Saccharomyces cerevisiae S288C: one gene and its partner. The protein of the gene in region 2 interacts with the protein of the main gene of each other region in a pairwise test. Each region holds a gene or a part of one and is shown on either strand. Other genes may lie near its edges.

Region 1 (7,639 bases), on a different chromosome or scaffold from region 2:
ACATGGCCATTGATGATGATAGGGAGGAGCAAGAAGTGGACCAGAAAGAGTTAGTAGAAGACGCCGATGATGAAAAAATGGATATTGATGAAGAAGAGATGCTATCTGATATCGACGCGCATGACGCTAACAATGACGTTGACAGCAAAAAGTCAGGATTCATCGGTAAAAGAAAGAGTGAGGAAGATTTTGAGAACGAACTTTCAAATGAACACTTCTCGGCTGATCAAGAGGATGACAGTGAAATACAATCTTTAATTGAAAACATTGAGGATAATCCACCTGATGCAAGTGCTAGTTTGACACCGGAAAGATCGTTAGAAGAATCCCGTGAATTGTGGCATAAAAGTGAAATTTCGACCGCCGATTTAGTATCACGTCTTGGAGAACAATTAAGACTAATCTTGGAACCTACCTTGGCTACAAAGCTGAAGGGTGATTACAAAACAGGTAAGAGACTGAATATGAAACGGATCATTCCATATATTGCCTCACAATTCCGTAAAGATAAAATCTGGTTGAGAAGAACTAAACCAAGCAAACGTCAGTATCAAATAATGATTGCGCTTGATGATTCTAAGTCTATGAGCGAATCTAAATGCGTTAAACTCGCTTTTGATAGTTTATGCTTGGTCTCCAAGACGTTAACTCAGCTAGAGGCTGGAGGGTTATCTATTGTCAAATTCGGTGAAAATATTAAAGAAGTTCACTCATTTGACCAACAATTTAGTAACGAATCTGGCGCAAGAGCTTTTCAATGGTTTGGTTTCCAAGAAACTAAAACAGACGTTAAGAAACTTGTGGCTGAATCTACTAAAATTTTTGAACGTGCTCGCGCTATGGTACATAATGACCAATGGCAACTAGAAATTGTAATCTCTGATGGTATTTGCGAAGACCATGAAACAATACAAAAACTGGTCCGCCGTGCTAGAGAAAACAAAATTATGCTGGTTTTTGTCATCATAGATGGTATTACTTCTAATGAATCCATCTTAGACATGAGCCAAGTGAACTACATTCCAGATCAGTATGGCAATCCGCAATTAAAGATTACCAAATACTTGGACACATTTCCTTTTGAATTTTATGTTGTTGTACACGATATAAGCGAACTACCCGAAATGCTTTCACTGATTTTGCGTCAATACTTTACAGACCTGGCATCCAGCTAAGTATATCGTGAAAACCAAGAAGAGGAGGTTTACTACACGAATCAAAGGAACAAAAAAATCATGGAACTGAAAAAAAAAAAAAAAAACTACTGTAAAAAACTACTGTAAACTATAAATTATTAATTAGACTGAACGTATACCTATATAAACCTGATATAAAAATGATTCAAGTTATTAGTCCTTTGCATTTTCTGTTAGCAATCCTTTGTCAATTAGCCCTAAGAAATATTATTCCCATATGGGTAACCAACTCTCTTTTTTTTTTTTTTTGAAGGGATCAATACTTCAGTCAGATATTTAAAGAGAAAAATTTTCTTCAAGATGCAAGTTTCCCATTCAGTTCTATAGGAAGTTAAAACAAAAGAGCTGTTTGAGAGCTCGTAGGCTTTGGTTGTTAAGAGAACGGACTAAATAACACCAGGAGGTGTGTCTAGACTTAGTTGAACGAGTTTTTTCTCGTGCTATTATATCTGTTCTTAATACTTCCACTTTATTTTAATGATGATAGCATGATTTATGTTGCTCGAAGTTAATCGATGTGAGCACAATGATTTCTCAAGACTACAACGGTATCTGAATTTTATTTCTTGTCAAAAATGTTTTATAGAAGCCACTCTTGCTATAGATTTATATTGCCACACATAACTTTTTCACGTAAATTTGAAAGAGCTATATTAGCTGGTGCTTTCACTAACATCTCTTTGCTCTAGTATTTCATTTCGGTGCATAAAACATTTGAACTTCCATCGAAATTCAATATGCTAAAACGTTTCATTGTAACACGACGCTGAAAAGACAATAAGTACGAAGGACTCAAGAAGGAGCATGTCTAAAGGGAGGGTCAATCAGAAGCGTTACAAGTATCCTCTTCCAATTCACCCCGTAGATGACCTTCCAGAGTTAATCCTTCATAATCCGTTATCTTGGCTATATTGGGCATACCGCTATTACAAGAGTACGAACGCACTGAACGATAAAGTACATGTAGATTTTATAGGAGATACCACTCTTCACATCACGGTTCAAGATGACAAGCAAATGCTATATCTTTGGAATAATGGATTTTTTGGCACTGGTCAATTTAGCAGGAGTGAGCCTACATGGAAAGCTAGAACAGAGGCCAGACTGGGTCTCAATGATACTCCCCTCCACAATCGGGGAGGAACAAAGAGTAATACTGAAACGGAGATGACTTTAGAGAAGGTCACACAACAGAGGAGATTACAAAGATTAGAGTTCAAGAAAGAACGTGCGAAGTTAGAAAGAGAATTACTAGAATTAAGAAAAAAAGGTGGTCATATCGATGAGGAAAACATCCTCCTTGAGAAACAACGAGAATCATTAAGAAAATTTAAACTAAAACAAACAGAAGACGTGGGCATCGTTGCACAACAGCAAGACATTTCCGAATCAAATTTAAGAGATGAAGACAACAATCTTCTTGATGAGAACGGTGATCTTTTGCCACTAGAGTCACTAGAACTAATGCCAGTGGAAGCTATGTTTTTAACTTTTGCACTTCCTGTTCTTGACATATCTCCCGCGTGCCTGGCAGGGAAACTGTTTCAATTCGATGCCAAATATAAAGATATTCACTCCTTTGTCAGATCATACGTTATATACCATCACTACAGATCACACGGTTGGTGCGTAAGATCTGGTATAAAATTCGGCTGCGATTATTTATTATATAAGAGAGGGCCACCATTTCAACACGCTGAATTTTGTGTTATGGGTCTTGACCACGACGTCTCTAAAGATTATACGTGGTATTCTAGCATAGCCCGTGTTGTGGGCGGCGCAAAGAAGACGTTTGTGTTATGCTACGTGGAGAGACTAATCTCGGAACAGGAGGCGATAGCACTATGGAAATCAAACAACTTTACTAAATTGTTCAATAGTTTTCAAGTTGGTGAAGTATTGTATAAGAGATGGGTTCCCGGAAGAAATAGAGACTAGAATATCAATGAGAAGATAAATCCTTCGTATGTATATATGTATGTGTATGTATTTTTTATACAGATTTCAATGGTTTTTGTAAGCATCTGATACCCATCCACAATCCCTAAACCCCTTGTTCTTTGCTTTGGGGCCCTTGACAGGGTCATCATATATTGCTCTAAACTTTTCATTGTGTGTGGCTGGTTTGGATATGCAAACAAATTTATTATCAGGAAGGACACATTTCAACTGAGATTTAGGGAAGGGACAAGGACAGTCTTTCTGCTGTGCAACGCACGTTAGGGTGTCCGGACACAAATACCCATCACAAGGGTTATTTAAAACTTGATCTTCATATGATTGTTGCTGTTGCTGTTGCTGTTGCTGATGATGACCGAAATTGAAGAAGGCATTCACTCCAGTGCTGCCAAAAATAAACAATGCAAAGATGAGAACGATACTCCAGCGACTTTGACTCATACTACAGTAAAATTTGGTCGTTTTTTGCCTGGCAAACCATGCCTATTTTTCGTCATTAAAGGTCTTCTGAGCTTTCATCAAAATTATCTCTATAATTATAAAGGACAGCTCAGAGCCACACCCAAACATCTGCAAAGGTAAAGGCCATCTTTCATCTCACATTGCCTAACAAGAAAGTCACATTGCAATTGTTTCGAGAAGAAAACATTAATTCAATTACGTGGTTCCCATGCGTCTGTGTTAAGCGTCAATTTATCATTTGACGAACTCGTTGCAACCACAAACAAAGCAAGGGCCGCATTTATCAAAGGAAAACCAACCAAAAGCATAAATAAACGAGATTTTTATTATGAAAAAGCCATGCGAATCCTACTAGAATAAATTCAAAGTGAAGACATTTAGTCAATTCGATCTTCTCTCTCTTGCTTTAACTAGTCGTAAAACCTAATAAGTTTCATTCACGACGCGTATTTTTTTTTCAACATATCATCTAACGCGTTTTAAGAAATTTCAGTAAATAATGAAGCTGTAGTAATGCCAACAATCCATTGTGGCTACTTTATACAACGCACTATAGAGCAATAAAAGTGTAGCAATAAACACTAGAGAGAAGGCACATAATAACAAGAATATACTCTCGCACATGTATTATGGAATCAGCCAGTTTAGCGAAGCCTACAACAAAATCTTAAGGAATTCATCGTCTCATTCATCATGTCAATTGGTCATTTTCGTTTCTTGTCTTAACATCGATGCGCTGTGTGCGACGAAGATGTTGTCACTATTATTCAAAAAACAATTGGTACAATCTCAAATAGTACCGATATTTGGGTACTCTGAATTACGACGCCACTATTCTCAATTGGATGACAATATAAATAGTCTGCTATTAGTAGGGTTTGGAGGCGTTATTGATCTGGAGGCTTTCTTAGAAATCGATCCCCAAGAGTATGTTATCGATACAGATGAAAAGTCGGGGGAACAAAGTTTCAGGAGAGACATCTACGTGTTGGATGCTCATAGACCGTGGAATCTCGACAATATATTTGGATCACAAATCATCCAATGTTTTGACGACGGTACGGTGGATGACACATTAGGCGAACAAAAAGAAGCATACTATAAATTGCTTGAACTGGACGAGGAGAGTGGTGACGATGAGCTCTCAGGTGACGAGAACGATAATAATGGGGGTGACGATGAGGCAACTGATGCCGATGAAGTCACAGACGAGGACGAAGAAGACGAAGATGAGACAATATCTAATAAAAGAGGTAATTCTTCAATAGGACCGAATGATCTCTCAAAAAGAAAGCAACGAAAGAAGCAAATCCATGAATATGAAGGTGTTTTGGAGGAATACTATTCTCAAGGCACAACAGTGGTTAACTCGATATCTGCACAAATCTATTCATTATTGTCTGCTATCGGAGAAACAAATCTTTCAAACCTGTGGTTGAATATACTTGGTACGACCTCGTTAGATATAGCATATGCTCAAGTTTACAATCGATTATACCCCTTATTGCAAGATGAAGTGAAGCGTCTCACACCAAGCAGTAGAAACTCAGTAAAGACCCCTGATACATTGACGTTAAACATCCAACCGGATTACTACCTTTTCTTACTGAGGCATTCTTCATTGTACGACAGTTTTTATTATTCTAACTATGTCAATGCCAAACTATCCCTATGGAATGAAAATGGGAAAAAGAGATTGCATAAGATGTTTGCTAGAATGGGTATACCATTAAGTACTGCACAAGAAACATGGTTATACATGGATCATTCTATTAAGAGAGAACTTGGGATAATATTTGACAAAAATTTGGATCGTTATGGGTTGCAAGATATAATTAGAGATGGGTTTGTTAGAACTCTTGGATATCGTGGGTCCATAAGTGCCAGTGAATTTGTCGAAGCACTAACAGCTCTTTTGGAAGTAGGTAATTCAACTGATAAGGATAGTGTGAAAATAAATAATGACAATAATGACGATACAGATGGAGAGGAAGAAGAAGATAACAGCGCTCAAAAATTGACGAATTTGAGAAAAAGATGGGTTTCGAATTTTTGGCTCAGTTGGGATGCTCTAGATGACAGAAAGGTGGAACTATTAAACCGTGGCATTCAACTAGCACAAGACTTACAGAGAGCAATTTTTAATACCGGGGTTGCTATATTGGAGAAGAAATTAATCAAGCATTTAAGAATTTATAGATTATGCGTCTTACAAGACGGACCCGATTTAGACTTGTACAGAAACCCATTGACGTTATTAAGATTAGGAAATTGGCTCATAGAATGCTGTGCGGAATCTGAAGACAAGCAATTGTTGCCCATGGTGCTTGCCAGCATAGATGAAAATACGGACACTTACTTGGTTGCTGGGTTAACACCTAGGTATCCTCGCGGACTAGACACGATACACACAAAAAAACCTATTTTGAATAATTTCAGCATGGCGTTTCAACAAATAACTGCAGAAACGGATGCTAAAGTGAGAATAGATAATTTTGAAAGTTCCATAATTGAAATACGTCGTGAAGATCTTTCACCATTCCTGGAGAAGCTGACCTTGAGTGGATTGTTATAATCAAATTTATATTATTTAGTCGTACATATATACCAGCATATGAATATAAAATCTAAGCTTTTTCAAGCTTTTAAGTCCAACTTTTCTATAATAATACCATATTTTGTGCGCGGCTCTTGACAAAACAAAAAAAAAAACCTAAATAAAAGGAAATTAAGAACAGGGAACTAGGTTTGGAAGGACAAATTCAGGAAGGAAAGAAATAGCTGTGACAAAGTAAGATGAACCAAAATGGTGATAAGAACGAAGGCAAGTTGTTTCAACTACCGTCATTGCCGCCCTGGAAAACACCAAGGTTCAACAAAGCCAACTTTAACAATTTTACCACACCGCTACGGAAAAGGTCGACAAGGGTAATAAATGATGATTCGATGCCCATAACAGGCGAAGTACTAGAGGAGAGGACTGCAGATGATCTCTATGGGATAAATATGGACGTAGACGAAGTCGACTATCTGAATACTTTGAGCCACATCGAGGAAGAAAAGCAATACGATTATTCACCGTTTTGTGAGCGCAATACGCTAAGGGAAAGTAGAATTGACAGTTTTTTGAAAGCCGAAAGGGCAGCACATTGTCTTGTGTTTCATAAGGTGGGCCATCTAGACGGCATAGACAGCTATCGACCCGATATTGACATCATGTGCGGCGAAGAGGCTAATAAATATGACAGTGCGAATCCGGAGGGCAATGGTTCAATGTTGTTAGAGAGTGTACCTGGATGCAACAAAGAAGACCTGGAGAGGTTATCAAGGCGAGAATTTGTAACAAATTCGAAACCTAATATGAGACGGTTGGATGACATAATAAATCATGAAACGAACGCCTTAAAAAGTTTCTGGAACGACTCAGGATTAGTCAATTCACTCCAAAGTCATCATTTGCATGAAGAGTACCTTCTTTTGCAAGAAGAATTAAAGAATGTGTACAAGATTAAATGCCATGACAGAGTGCCAATAGAAAGTCTACGCGATAAGTGCAGAAGACACTATAGCAACGAGGATAGTTCGTTTCTCTGACAGAGGCAATGCCTTTTTTGCTTCACGTGTATATATATCAGTTGATATGCGTTTTCTATACAGACATACATGTATATACACACATATATATATATACATATGTACGCAGAGATATATTAAATGGGGGTTCTAGTTTCAACAATTTGATCTTTCAGTTTCTCGTCCCATTCCAGTTTCTTCTTCTGTATATAAGCGAAGACATCAGACATTCCAGTAGGGTCTATTTCCTGCGTCTTGATATATGGCATACCATCCCTAGAGGTAGCAGAACCGTATTTTACGTCTTGTTTCTCAAAGTTTGGATTGGCCAATCTAGTTACGTATACTGGGGCATTGGCAGCTTTATAACCATCAATATTGTGCCATGGAGACCCCAACAGCCTGGCCAAATAGAACAAGCATAGCATGCCGAAATAGGTGAAAAAATT
Region 2 (11,679 bases):
TATGGCACCACCAAAGCCAAAAAGTACTGACGCAACCAAAATGAACTACTCACCATACGTGCCTCAATCAACTGCCGCTAGTGCAGATGGCGATGAATCAACGATTCTGAAAACATCGCCTGCTATATATGCAAGAACTCACCAAGCACATGCATCCAATCCATCACAATACTTTCCTTTGGTCAACCAAGCAAATGAAACTGCTTCATTCGAATTATCTGAATCAACATCCCAGGCACAAAGTAATGGAAATGTTGCTTCAGAAAATAGATTCAGCCCAATAAAGAAAGCCGAAGTCGTCGAGAAAGACACTTTTCAACCTACTATTAGGAAGGCTTCAACTAACCAATACAGGGCTTTTAAACCGTTGGAATCAGATGCGGATAAATACAATGACGTTATTGAAGATGAATCCGATGACGACAATATGTCTACTGATGAGGCAAAGAACAGAAAGGAAGAAAAAAAGAATGTGAATATGAAAAAGGAAACAAAACCAAGTAACAAGGACATAGATGACAAGTCTAATGGTTGGTTTGGTTGGTTGAAGAAAGATACTGGCGACAAAAAAGTGTATAAGGCCAAGCTAGGTCATAAAAACACACTATACTATGATGAAAAATTGAAACGTTGGGTGAATAAGGACGCAACCGAAGAGGAAAAACAAAAAATTATTGAAAGTTCGGCACCACCACCTCCTCCAATCGTGAAACGTAAAGATGGCGGCCCAAAGACAAAGCCACGTTCAGGCCCCATCAATAATTCCCTACCTCCAGTACATGCCACATCAGTTATTCCGAACAATCCAATCACTGGTGAGCCTTTGCCGATCAAAACATCCCCTTCTCCTACAGGACCCAATCCAAACAATTCTCCATCACCATCCTCTCCCATATCAAGGATTTCTGGCGTAAACTTGACTAGCAAAAAGGCAAACGGTTTGGATGATTTATTGAGTTTGGCAGGAGGACCCAAACCAGCAAGTACGAGAAGGAAGAAGAAAACAGCGAGAGGCTATGTTAATGTAATGGATAACATACAATAATTATAGTAATACGTTTTTCTTTCATGGTACCCTTATGCCTTCCCTTTTCTTGATGTATATTATATACTTATAAAAACCGTAGTAAATTTTATTAAAACAATGATTACAGGAATCCGTATTTAGGTTATGCATCGTTGTCAGTAAGAAATCAGATGAATGCGATCTGAAACTTTGCTTATACTAATATTATTCTATCATACCTCATTTTCTTGCTTCGATTAATGCAGGACGCCGGTTCCGGGTTAGGATCACCGAGAAACAGAAAGCAAGCAAGGCTTCAGTTACAATTCGAAGAAGTACTAAGGGGGTTGTCGTGGAAAAATCTTGAATCAGAAAGCGGCTGACTGGAGCATTACTAGGTTCATTACTCACTGGTTCTACTCATGAAACCTTACTTATTTGACCTAAAGCTAAAAGACACAGAGAAGCTGGATTGGAAAAAAGGCCTCTCCTCATATCTCAAGAAATCATACGGCTCCTCACAATGGAGAACATTTTATGATGAGAAAGCTACTTCAGAACTGGATCACTTAAGGAATAATGCAAATGGAGAACTAGCACCTTCTTCATTGTCGGAACAAAATCTAAAATATTACTCATTTTTGGAGCATCTTTATTTTCGCCTGGGTAGCAAAGGATCAAGATTAAAAATGGATTTCACTTGGTATGACGCAGAATACTCATCGGCCCAGAAAGGATTGAAATACACGCAACATACGTTAGCATTTGAAAAGTCTTGTACTTTGTTCAACATTGCTGTAATCTTTACCCAAATTGCGAGGGAGAATATCAATGAGGACTACAAAAACTCAATCGCAAATTTGACAAAAGCTTTTTCCTGTTTTGAATATCTATCAGAAAATTTTTTGAACTCACCTTCAGTCGATCTTCAGTCAGAAAACACTAGGTTTCTGGCTAATATTTGCCATGCAGAAGCTCAAGAATTGTTTGTCTTGAAATTATTAAATGATCAAATATCATCCAAGCAATATACATTAATCAGTAAACTTTCTAGAGCCACGTGTAACCTCTTTCAGAAATGTCACGATTTTATGAAAGAAATAGATGACGATGTGGCCATTTATGGTGAACCCAAATGGAAAACGACAGTTACTTGCAAACTGCATTTCTACAAATCGTTAAGCGCTTATTATCACGGTTTACACCTTGAAGAAGAAAATAGAGTTGGCGAAGCAATTGCTTTTCTCGATTTTTCTATGCAACAATTGATTTCATCCCTTCCATTCAAAACGTGGTTAGTGGAATTTATAGACTTTGATGGGTTTAAAGAAACTTTAGAAAAGAAACAAAAGGAGTTGATTAAAGATAACGATTTTATATATCATGAAAGCGTTCCAGCCGTTGTGCAGGTTGATTCCATTAAGGCGCTCGATGCAATAAAATCTCCAACATGGGAGAAGATATTAGAACCATATATGCAAGATGTTGCAAATAAATGTGACTCTTTGTACAGAGGAATTATTCCCCTAGATGTCTATGAAAAGGAAAGTATTTACTCAGAAGAAAAAGCGACGCTGTTGAGAAAGCAAGTTGAAGAAACTGAGACAGCAAATTTGGAATATTCTTCCTTCATCGAATTTACAAATCTACCCAGGCTCTTGAGTGATTTGGAAAAACAATTTAGTGACGGAAATATTTTCTCGAATACGGATACACAGGGACAATTGATGAGGGACCAAATTCAGACATGGTGTAAATTTATCCAAACAAATGAATTTAGGGATATAGAAGAACAGATGAACAAAATTGTTTTCAAAAGGAAACAAATTTTAGAAATCCTTTCTGCCTTACCCAATGATCAAAAAGAAAATGTTACAAAACTAAAATCTTCTTTAGTAGCTGCTTCAAACTCAGACGAAAAATTGTTCGCATGCGTAAAACCACATATTGTCGAGATCAATCTATTGAATGACAATGGAAAAATATGGAAGAAGTTTGACGAATTTAATCGCAATACGCCTCCACAACCTAGCCTATTGGATATCGATGATACCAAAAACGACAAGATATTAGAGTTGTTAAAACAAGTAAAGGGCCATGCGGAAGACTTAAGAACATTGAAAGAGGAACGTTCGAGAAATTTGTCTGAACTAAGAGACGAAATCAACAACGATGATATCACAAAATTATTAATTATTAATAAGGGGAAATCCGATGTTGAGCTCAAAGATTTATTCGAGGTGGAACTGGAGAAATTCGAGCCTTTGAGCACAAGAATAGAGGCGACAATTTACAAACAATCTTCAATGATAGATGACATCAAAGCCAAGCTAGATGAAATTTTTCACCTTTCAAATTTCAAGGATAAATCTTCTGGGGAAGAAAAATTTTTAGAAGATCGTAAGAATTTTTTTGATAAGCTGCAAGAAGCAGTGAAATCATTCAGTATTTTTGCATCCGACTTGCCAAAAGGAATAGAGTTCTATGATTCATTATTCAATATGAGTAGAGACTTAGCAGAAAGAGTGAGAGTTGCAAAGCAGACCGAGGATTCAACAGCTAATTCTCCCGCTCCTCCCCTCCCTCCACTTGATTCTAAAGCGTCTGTCGTTGGGGGTCCTCCATTACTGCCCCAAAAAAGTGCAGCCTTTCAGTCATTATCTAGACAAGGGCTCAATTTAGGGGACCAATTTCAAAATCTCAAAATAAGTGCCGGCAGTGATTTACCTCAAGGACCCGGTATTCCACCAAGAACTTATGAAGCTTCGCCATATGCTGCAACGCCTACTATGGCAGCCCCACCAGTACCACCGAAACAATCGCAAGAGGATATGTACGACTTGAGAAGACGTAAAGCAGTTGAAAACGAAGAACGTGAACTGCAAGAGAATCCTACGTCCTTTTACAATAGACCCTCTGTTTTTGATGAAAATATGTACTCCAAATACAGCAGTTAGGTGCATTTCTTATTTCTTAATTTTATTGTAGCTTTTTTTTTTCAACTAATATGATAATTATATATATACCGGATTTGTTGAAAGCCAGTTTTGCAAGGATAAAGAAACTGCGATTTAGCAAAAGTCCCTTTAATGCTTCTTCCATCTTTGATCTACTTTCTTTTGAGTATTAGGTGTATACCATACACTTTCAGATCCAAAATCAGCCTCGGACATTTTTACAAACGAAATAAGGCCATTATCCATAATAGCGATAATAAAGCTCCGATATCCCGTCTTCAATCTACGATTTTGCTGTATGTGAGGTGGGTACGCCTTTCTCTTCTTTTTCGTGCTAGACTGTGCAGTTTTTTTTTGAAAACTTGCTTTCATAGACGACTCACTTTTTTCAGTTTGAGATTTCGCGCTCCTCTTATGAATATATTCCTTTCGTGGGATATCTTCAACGTAGGAGTTTGTCTCCCAATCGTCATCATCCTCGATTTCGCTTAAAAATTCGAATTTATAATCAAGTGAGGAAAACATAGATCGCAGCTCTTTATAGGTAGGAAAATGCTGAAGATCGTCATTTTTATTGTAAACGAAAACTTGGAAATCAGGAAGACCGGGGTCTCTTTTCTTGAAATTAGAATGGGGTTTCCATACTTTAAATGTCAAGGGAATATCCTTTACCTTTTGAAATTCCCTATCAGATTGTGCATCCAATAGCTCTTTTTTATTCTTTGGTACAGCCACGGAACGAACAAGCCTATTTAAACCCTGGTATAACTGTGGTGAAGTCGTATATTTACGAAAAAAAAAATTCCACTTAGAATAGAAGAAACCACTAAACAGCGATAACTCTTGTATTTTAAACAATGAAAGTAATCTCCAAGTGATTGCTTGTAAATTACTTCGTTGCTTTTTCAATGGGAAAAAGGAAGTCTTGACTGCTGCTTCTTGATTGCTGGGTTTTAGAATAAAACCCAACCTTTTTAAATGAGCAAACACAAAATATTGGTCCATTTCCTGTTGCGATGAAAACAGCGAATACAAATCCTCCATACTGAGTAAAATCTCTGTTTCGTGCTTTGAGCTTTTGTTAGAGCCTGCTTCTAATCTATAATAAGGAAGAATAGTGCCTCTCTCTGCCAAATAAACAAACTCATGGAAGTCAAGCCAGAGTTCGCCTGTGCTATCAGCCCTTCCCATCGTTTGCATAAAGCTGCCTTTGGGTTTAAGTAGAACGGCTTGATGTTTATGGGGAACATAGTATCCTCTTACTTCAGATTTTACTGTTGTGCCTCTTATTGAGTCTGATATGGTATCAAACATGGCTTTACTTGCATTATAGAGAAGCAGATCTTGCAAATTAGTCCCATCTGGTTCATAGTCTTTTTCACCCCTCTTTGGAAGTGAAAGAGCAGCATTTTTGCTAACGAGCGATGCGAGTTGCGACCAATCTTGTTGTAGTTCTTCTTCTTCTTCTTCTTCTTCTTCAAAGCCCGGATTAGATGTGGTCACTTGATCAGTTTTCTTCCCAGCGAATTGCATTTAAATTGGCAGAAGAACAGAGGTTTTATGTATGTTTATATCCAAACGTTTCGATAGCTCAAATGAATAATTTTTCATACTGAGATGAAGCTCTGCAGAGTTCGACTAAACTGTTTCTAGTTTCCCTTTGGCGCAACTTAACTATGAAAAATAATAAAATAAAAAAAAAGTCCAAGCCATAATCAATAGACAGCTAATAACCTGAATTTTAACAAGAGAATATGAAAACATTATCAATACTGATTTGAATATACCCGTAAATTCTATAAGACTCCATTAATATACCGTATTATATTACAAGTTGATAATACATAAATGCGTTAAATAAAACAAAAATGACCTTGTATACGCGTCATTCCAATGCAAGAATTTGTTTATCGTAAAGTTTTGATGAAGGTGTCTAAATTATACTCCTCCTCGTATTGAGATGGGTCCCATAGCTCTTTCAATTCACCGAGGGCCTCTTTGGCTTTGCCAGTTAAACCAGTCTCGTTGGCAATATCTTCCATGCCCTTGGCTGCTTGGGAATCGCCATTATTCTTTTCCTCATTGTCCTGTGAGGTAACGTTATCGGGGTCGAAGAGATCAAGCAGCTGATGTGTATCCATGGATGCTAATCCACTGTTTTGCTGATTAACAACTGTAGAAGCTATATTCATTTTGAATTTCTGCAAACCCATGATTTTTTCTTCAAGCGTACCTTTCGTAATAATTCTGTAAACATTAACAACCTTTTTCTGACCAATTCTATGTGCTCTGTCCATTGCCTGTAGATCATTCATTGGATTCCAGTCATGCTCTACAAAAATGACGGTGTCTGCACCAGTTAAATTCAGACCCAGCCCTCCGACCTTGGTGGTCAACAGTAGGCAATCAATAGAGGGATCTTCGTTAAATTTCCGAACAACTTTTTGTCTGTCTCTTGGGTCAATGCTTCCATCTAGCCTCATATAGGTTACGGAGGGCATATACTTTTTAAACAAGTCATTTTCAACCATGTCTAGCATATCTTTTAGTTGGCAGAAAATCAGGGCTCTGTGTTGTGATATGACATTTTGAATAGGAAAATTCTGATCTTGGCTTGCTTTTTTGTCGATATCTTCTTCACCTATACCACATTCAAAGAGTAATGTTCTCAATGCGCTCAGTTTTGGAGCGTTGATAATATCGTGTAAATCTAGACCAGTTTGCTTTAAATAGTCTTGTACTTGCGCTAATTGCGGGTGATTTGGTGAAAGGACCAAAGCTGGATGATTACACAATTTTCTCATGTATTGTAAAGCTTGGAAAATATGTTGCTTGCCATCAGCAATCTCAGAATTTTCAATATCTTTCTCAACTACATTTTTTTGTTTTTTAGTAAAATCCATGTATAGTTGTTTTTGTAAATCACCTAATTCACAGTAGTAATCCTGAATAATTTTAGGTGGTAAATCAGATAGAACGTCTTCCTTCAATCTTCTCAGCATGAAAGGTAGAACTTGCTTATGTAGTGCCTCCAAAGCCAGTACACCTGCTTCCTGCTCCTTAGATGATGTTTTACTATTTCTTGACGCAGCGATTGGCTTTGCGAACCTTTCCTGGAACATCTTTTCCGTTCCCAAAAATCCCGGCATTAAGAAGTCAAACAGAGACCACAATTCTAAAACGTTGTTTTGGATGGGAGTTCCGGTTAAAATTAATCTATGGTTTGCAGTAATTTCTTTAACAGCCTTAGCAAGTTTTGATTGAGAGTTTTTAATTATATGTCCTTCATCCAAAACACAATAATTATATTCAGTTTTGTTTAGGACTGCGAGATCATTTCTAGCTACGTCATATGATGTTACAATAATATCAGCATCACTTAACTGTGGTCTCAGAGTTAATCTGACAGTTGGGCCACCGGCATACACAACAACCTTTAAAAAGGGAGCATACTGGTCAAACTCGTTTTCCCAATGGCCAGTTAAAGATGGGGGGCATATTATGAGAGATGGTAAGGCTCTACTTTCAACAGAACGCGTTTTTTCATAATCTTCCTTCCTCAAATATTGATCGCTTGCGATAATGCAGATGGTTTGTAATGTTTTACCCAAACCCATATCGTCACACAATATTCCATGTAGATGATATTTGTTCAGGAATGCCAACCAGTTAACACCATCTTGCTGATATTTTCTTAAAGTCGCCTTGATGGCAATGGGTAATTTAAATGGCTTAGCTTTAGAAGGATCCATCATTTGTTGGATAAAATCACGCTCCCTCTCTCTGCTTGCCACTAGTTCTTCTGGGAGTCCTTTTGGATCGGCGATACCAGCTTCTAAAGGAACTAATTTGATGATAGAAGCAAATGTTGTTGTAGCTAAATTCCTCACATCTTCGTTCGAATCACTCATGCGACCCAAAAGTGGAACTATTAAGAAAATGACGTAAGGTAGAACATCGGTTTCCATAGAAAGTGATAAATGATAAATAAGCTCCGTGGACCCTTGACGATCGGATAGAGAACCAGCGCTATTCATTAAAGGCAAAATCTCACGTATGGTGTAAGCCATTACCTCCACGGAGGAAATTTTAGCCAGATCAGCAAAAGTTCTTGCAGCTGAATAACGAAAAACAGATAAGTTTGATCTTAAGAACGTTAATAAAACAGGGAAACGGGTAAAAACCTCACTAGAACGTAGCGAATCAGACATAAATGGGAATAGAGCTCTTAGTACACCAAATGAGTCGACTATTTTTTGACCTTGCTCGTTGTCAACTTTACTTGCTTCCTCATTTTCATGATCAGATAATGAATCAAATAAAATCGATCTAAGCTGAGGTAGTTTCTGTAATATAGAAGGCCCAAGAACTTCAAATAGTATTTTTAACGTAATCAACCCACCCTTCCTTTTTAGTTGAGCCTCTTCCGACATCTTTGCGAGATTAATGTCATCTTGTGCGGCAATCGAATTAGATTCTTTTATTAACGTCAATATTTTTTCTTTATATTCTGCATTTACGGAGAAATCAGGAACTTCTGAAGTATCAACGCATAAAAATCCGCAGAGATTTTTGACTATCTTACCAGACACATTAACTTTATTATTTTCTAACAGTTGCTGAATCAAATGTACGACCGATTCTCCGGCCATCGTTTGTAACTTTTCATTCCTTTCTTCTTTAACACTGTCCATTAGCGACCTGATAATGGGGTTTAATTTAAGAGGTAGACCATCAAATAACAAGATGGATGATGCGTAATTAGCGAGAATGCTGCCTGTACGAAGTTTTGCGGATTCTTTGGCTGAATTGATTGCCATCAACACGCGATGCTTAGAATCTTCTAATGGCTTCTTGGCCAATAGTTTGTAAGAGTTGTTCATGGATTTGAACATTTTATCATAGTATTCGCCGTACACTTTTTCTGCTGTTTCAACACCAAACGCATGTGGACCGGCTTCTGTTTCGCCTTGAACCACAATTGCTACGTTGGGTAGTTTGTACTGAGGTAACATACCTACATCCACAAAGGTAGCCAGTAGGCTTTGACATTGAGTCCTCAGAGCTTTTAAGCTAGGTACTAGCTCCCTAAATACAGGAAATTCATCGCGATTCAGTAACTGTTTATTCATCACAGGACTGAAAATCTCTGATACAAAAGAAGGTAATTTTTCCCCTTCTGGATGCTTTTGTAACCACGAGGAGCAAAACTGTGAAACAATAATGCCTGCCAACATACGTGGAGTTGAGAATGGCAGCTCTAAACAACGAACCAGAACGTTTGTGAAGAAGGATTGAAGCGTGGAATCTTGAAACATTGACAATGTCAAAGCAAATGCCTTTGCTCCCATTATTCTAGTGTTCAATATTACGTCCAATCCTAGCAAAGTAATATCTCCAGCAATCATAGGTGCATCGATATTGATATGTTCATTATTTTTTGGTATTGGAATGTCAGAATCTGTTGTGGTTTCAGATATAGAACGTTTTTTTTCTGGATGTAATTGATAGTGCTGGGAAGGCTTTAGAATATATTGTGATTCCATGGCATAATTCTTTCCCTTTTCCCCTACTGGCGTATTTAGAAGATGTAGTATTGGCTGCAAATGTTTACTGAAAACATGATCTAAAGTTTTTTCGGTATGCTTAACTTTATAATGCTCCAATAACGCAACATAAACATCAAAAGACAGTTGCAATAGTTCCGGGTTTTGCTCCAGTAAAATATTCTGAAAAACTAGACGGAATACCTTGCCGTTTAACCAGTTTTTAGTAGAATCATCCTTTATTGATAAGAATGCAATCAGTAGATTCAAAACAGCCCTCCTCACAGAAGAAATCGAATGGCGTAAAAAGGGATACAATTTCGGTACCAGTGACTTGAATGACCACTCTGAAGGATGCTCTAAAGCCTTGTTCTTTAAAATATCTAGTACTTCTTGGTGGTCGCACAACTTTGCCAATAGATCCATTATAGAACCTACGCTTGAAGATATATCATCATCTAAACGAGCTAGTAATGACCATATCGTGGTCACCAAAATTTCTATGGTAGAGTTGTTTAATTTGACAAATTCGCTGGTTATTGGGGTTAAAATTGAGGCTGCTACGCTTTGAACGTCATCATCACTTTGGTTTAAACCATATAGCACTATACGGACAACGTTTTCTAAAAGGCCATGGGCAAATAGGAAATTTGTCTTTATGCTGACGAAGTAACGAATCCCTAAAAGCCCTCCATGGGTAGCTTCCCATATTTTGTTCGGTAGACCTGTTTGTAGTGGATCTTGTAGAACCAGTTGTTCTAAACAATTAAATATTTTAATTGATAAGGTACTGTCTAGGTGAATTAATAACGCAGCTAGAGTTTGCGCAACTGACTCTCGTACAGGGGCCACAACTGTATCATAAACATAATCACCAAATCTATCCAATGCAAATACTGTAAGTAGACGGGACGCCAAGTCTTCTAAGCTTCTAGAATTCCTCAGGTTGTTCTCCTCTCGGGTATTCCCCTTAACCCTGCTGACTCCATAAGCATGTTTTTTTACCAATTCTCGAAGACCCAACGCAGCTCCATGCCTTATTTCCCAATTTTCGCTCATTAGATTATCTAAAAGTAGTTCATAAATGCCTTGGAATTGCCAAACTAGGCCAGCAACAATTTCGTGTTGTTCTAGCAATGGCCTTACTGTGGATTCTATCATTAGTTTACTTTCATCGGCTTGTTCAGTAATCTCCAGTTTGGGATTTAGCTGGTTACTGGTGGGAGAAGTGGCTAGCGATGCAGCAGAATTGGTCATATTTTTTCCATTTAATAAAGTCTTGGAAACTGAACTTTCCGTTATATCTACAGGATGTTTGGGAGTATTCTTAGCACTCATTTTCTTTTTTCGCCTTGCCATAGCAAGCATCCTTGCTGACTTCTTGTTAGCATTACTTTTATTTTCATTCGCCTTATCAGACGCATTTAGCATAGATGTTTCCTGTTTTATATCATCAGTTTTAGCTTGTTTTCTTATATTATCGTCAGCCTTACCAAGAACATTGTAATCATTCATACTCGACGCCAGGAGCACTTTACCTGACTTTAAAATTTCGTTCAATTTCCAATCAGACAGAGAACTGAGGTGATGGTCCTCCTGTAAGAGATTCAACTGATTGTTCTGAGTAGCCTCTTCCAATTTTATTTTCATTTCATGTTCCAACTTCACCTGAGCATTATCCAATGGAGAACCTTCATTTGTACCACCTACCAAGTCAGATTCATTCGGATCCCAAGAAGGAGCATGGGCAACTATGCCACCCACAGCTCTTGCTGCAGTAACACGCGTTTCCCATTTCTTCACTAGTAAAAAGGGGTAAACTCTGGACAGCAACGAAAGAATGTCTTCGGGGTGCTGTTTGGCCAAGTCTCCCATTTGATCGGCAGCCATGTTCCGGACTACTTGGGTGGAACCGGTCTCTATTAATATTACCTGCCGGTCCAGCCTCGAAACTCGTGACGTCATTTGAGGTGCTGTGTGTGTTGTGATACTTTTGTTCGTTAATATTGGAATACGATCGCTACTTATATTTTATGTTCTGAAGGACTCTAAAAGCAAATCAAAATAACCGCCGAGCTGTGTGTTCAGAGCTATAATAGCAGAATGGTGGTTTTTTTCTGAGCGCAATAGAAAATGGCGCGCAAACCGCCAAGGGAACGGAATTGGTGGA

The links. Proteins that work in one complex are often made in the same cells at the same time.
Region 1: the proteins of SEN54 (region 2) and SEN2 interact in binary tests that used the Saccharomyces cerevisiae proteins (3 or more experiments, as listed by UniProt).

Annotation. Positions count from the first base shown.
Region 1 is NC_001144.5:342,542-350,180, reverse strand, and holds SEN2 (tRNA splicing endonuclease subunit SEN2), read left to right. Parts: upstream 1-2,000; coding exon 2,001-3,134; downstream 3,135-7,639. Other genes in the region: REA1 (AAA family ATPase midasin), read left to right, coding at 1-1,175; LCL2 (Lcl2p), read right to left, coding at 3,201-3,596; DNA replication initiation factor CDC45, read left to right, coding at 4,240-6,192; APC9 (anaphase promoting complex subunit 9), read left to right, coding at 6,414-7,211; ERG27 (3-keto-steroid reductase), read right to left, coding at 7,328-7,639. UniProt on the Saccharomyces cerevisiae protein: Constitutes one of the two catalytic subunit of the tRNA-splicing endonuclease complex, a complex responsible for identification and cleavage of the splice sites in pre-tRNA. It cleaves pre-tRNA at the 5'- and 3'-splice sites to release the intron.
Region 2 is NC_001148.4:392,610-404,288, forward strand, and holds SEN54 (tRNA splicing endonuclease subunit SEN54), read right to left. Parts: upstream 5,497-11,679; coding exon 4,093-5,496; downstream 1-4,092. Other genes in the region: COPII coat assembly protein SEC16, read left to right, coding at 1-1,045; BRO1 (Bro1p), read left to right, coding at 1,429-3,963; MOT1 (DNA-binding ATPase), read right to left, coding at 5,871-11,474. UniProt on the Saccharomyces cerevisiae protein: Non-catalytic subunit of the tRNA-splicing endonuclease complex, a complex responsible for identification and cleavage of the splice sites in pre-tRNA. It cleaves pre-tRNA at the 5' and 3' splice sites to release the intron.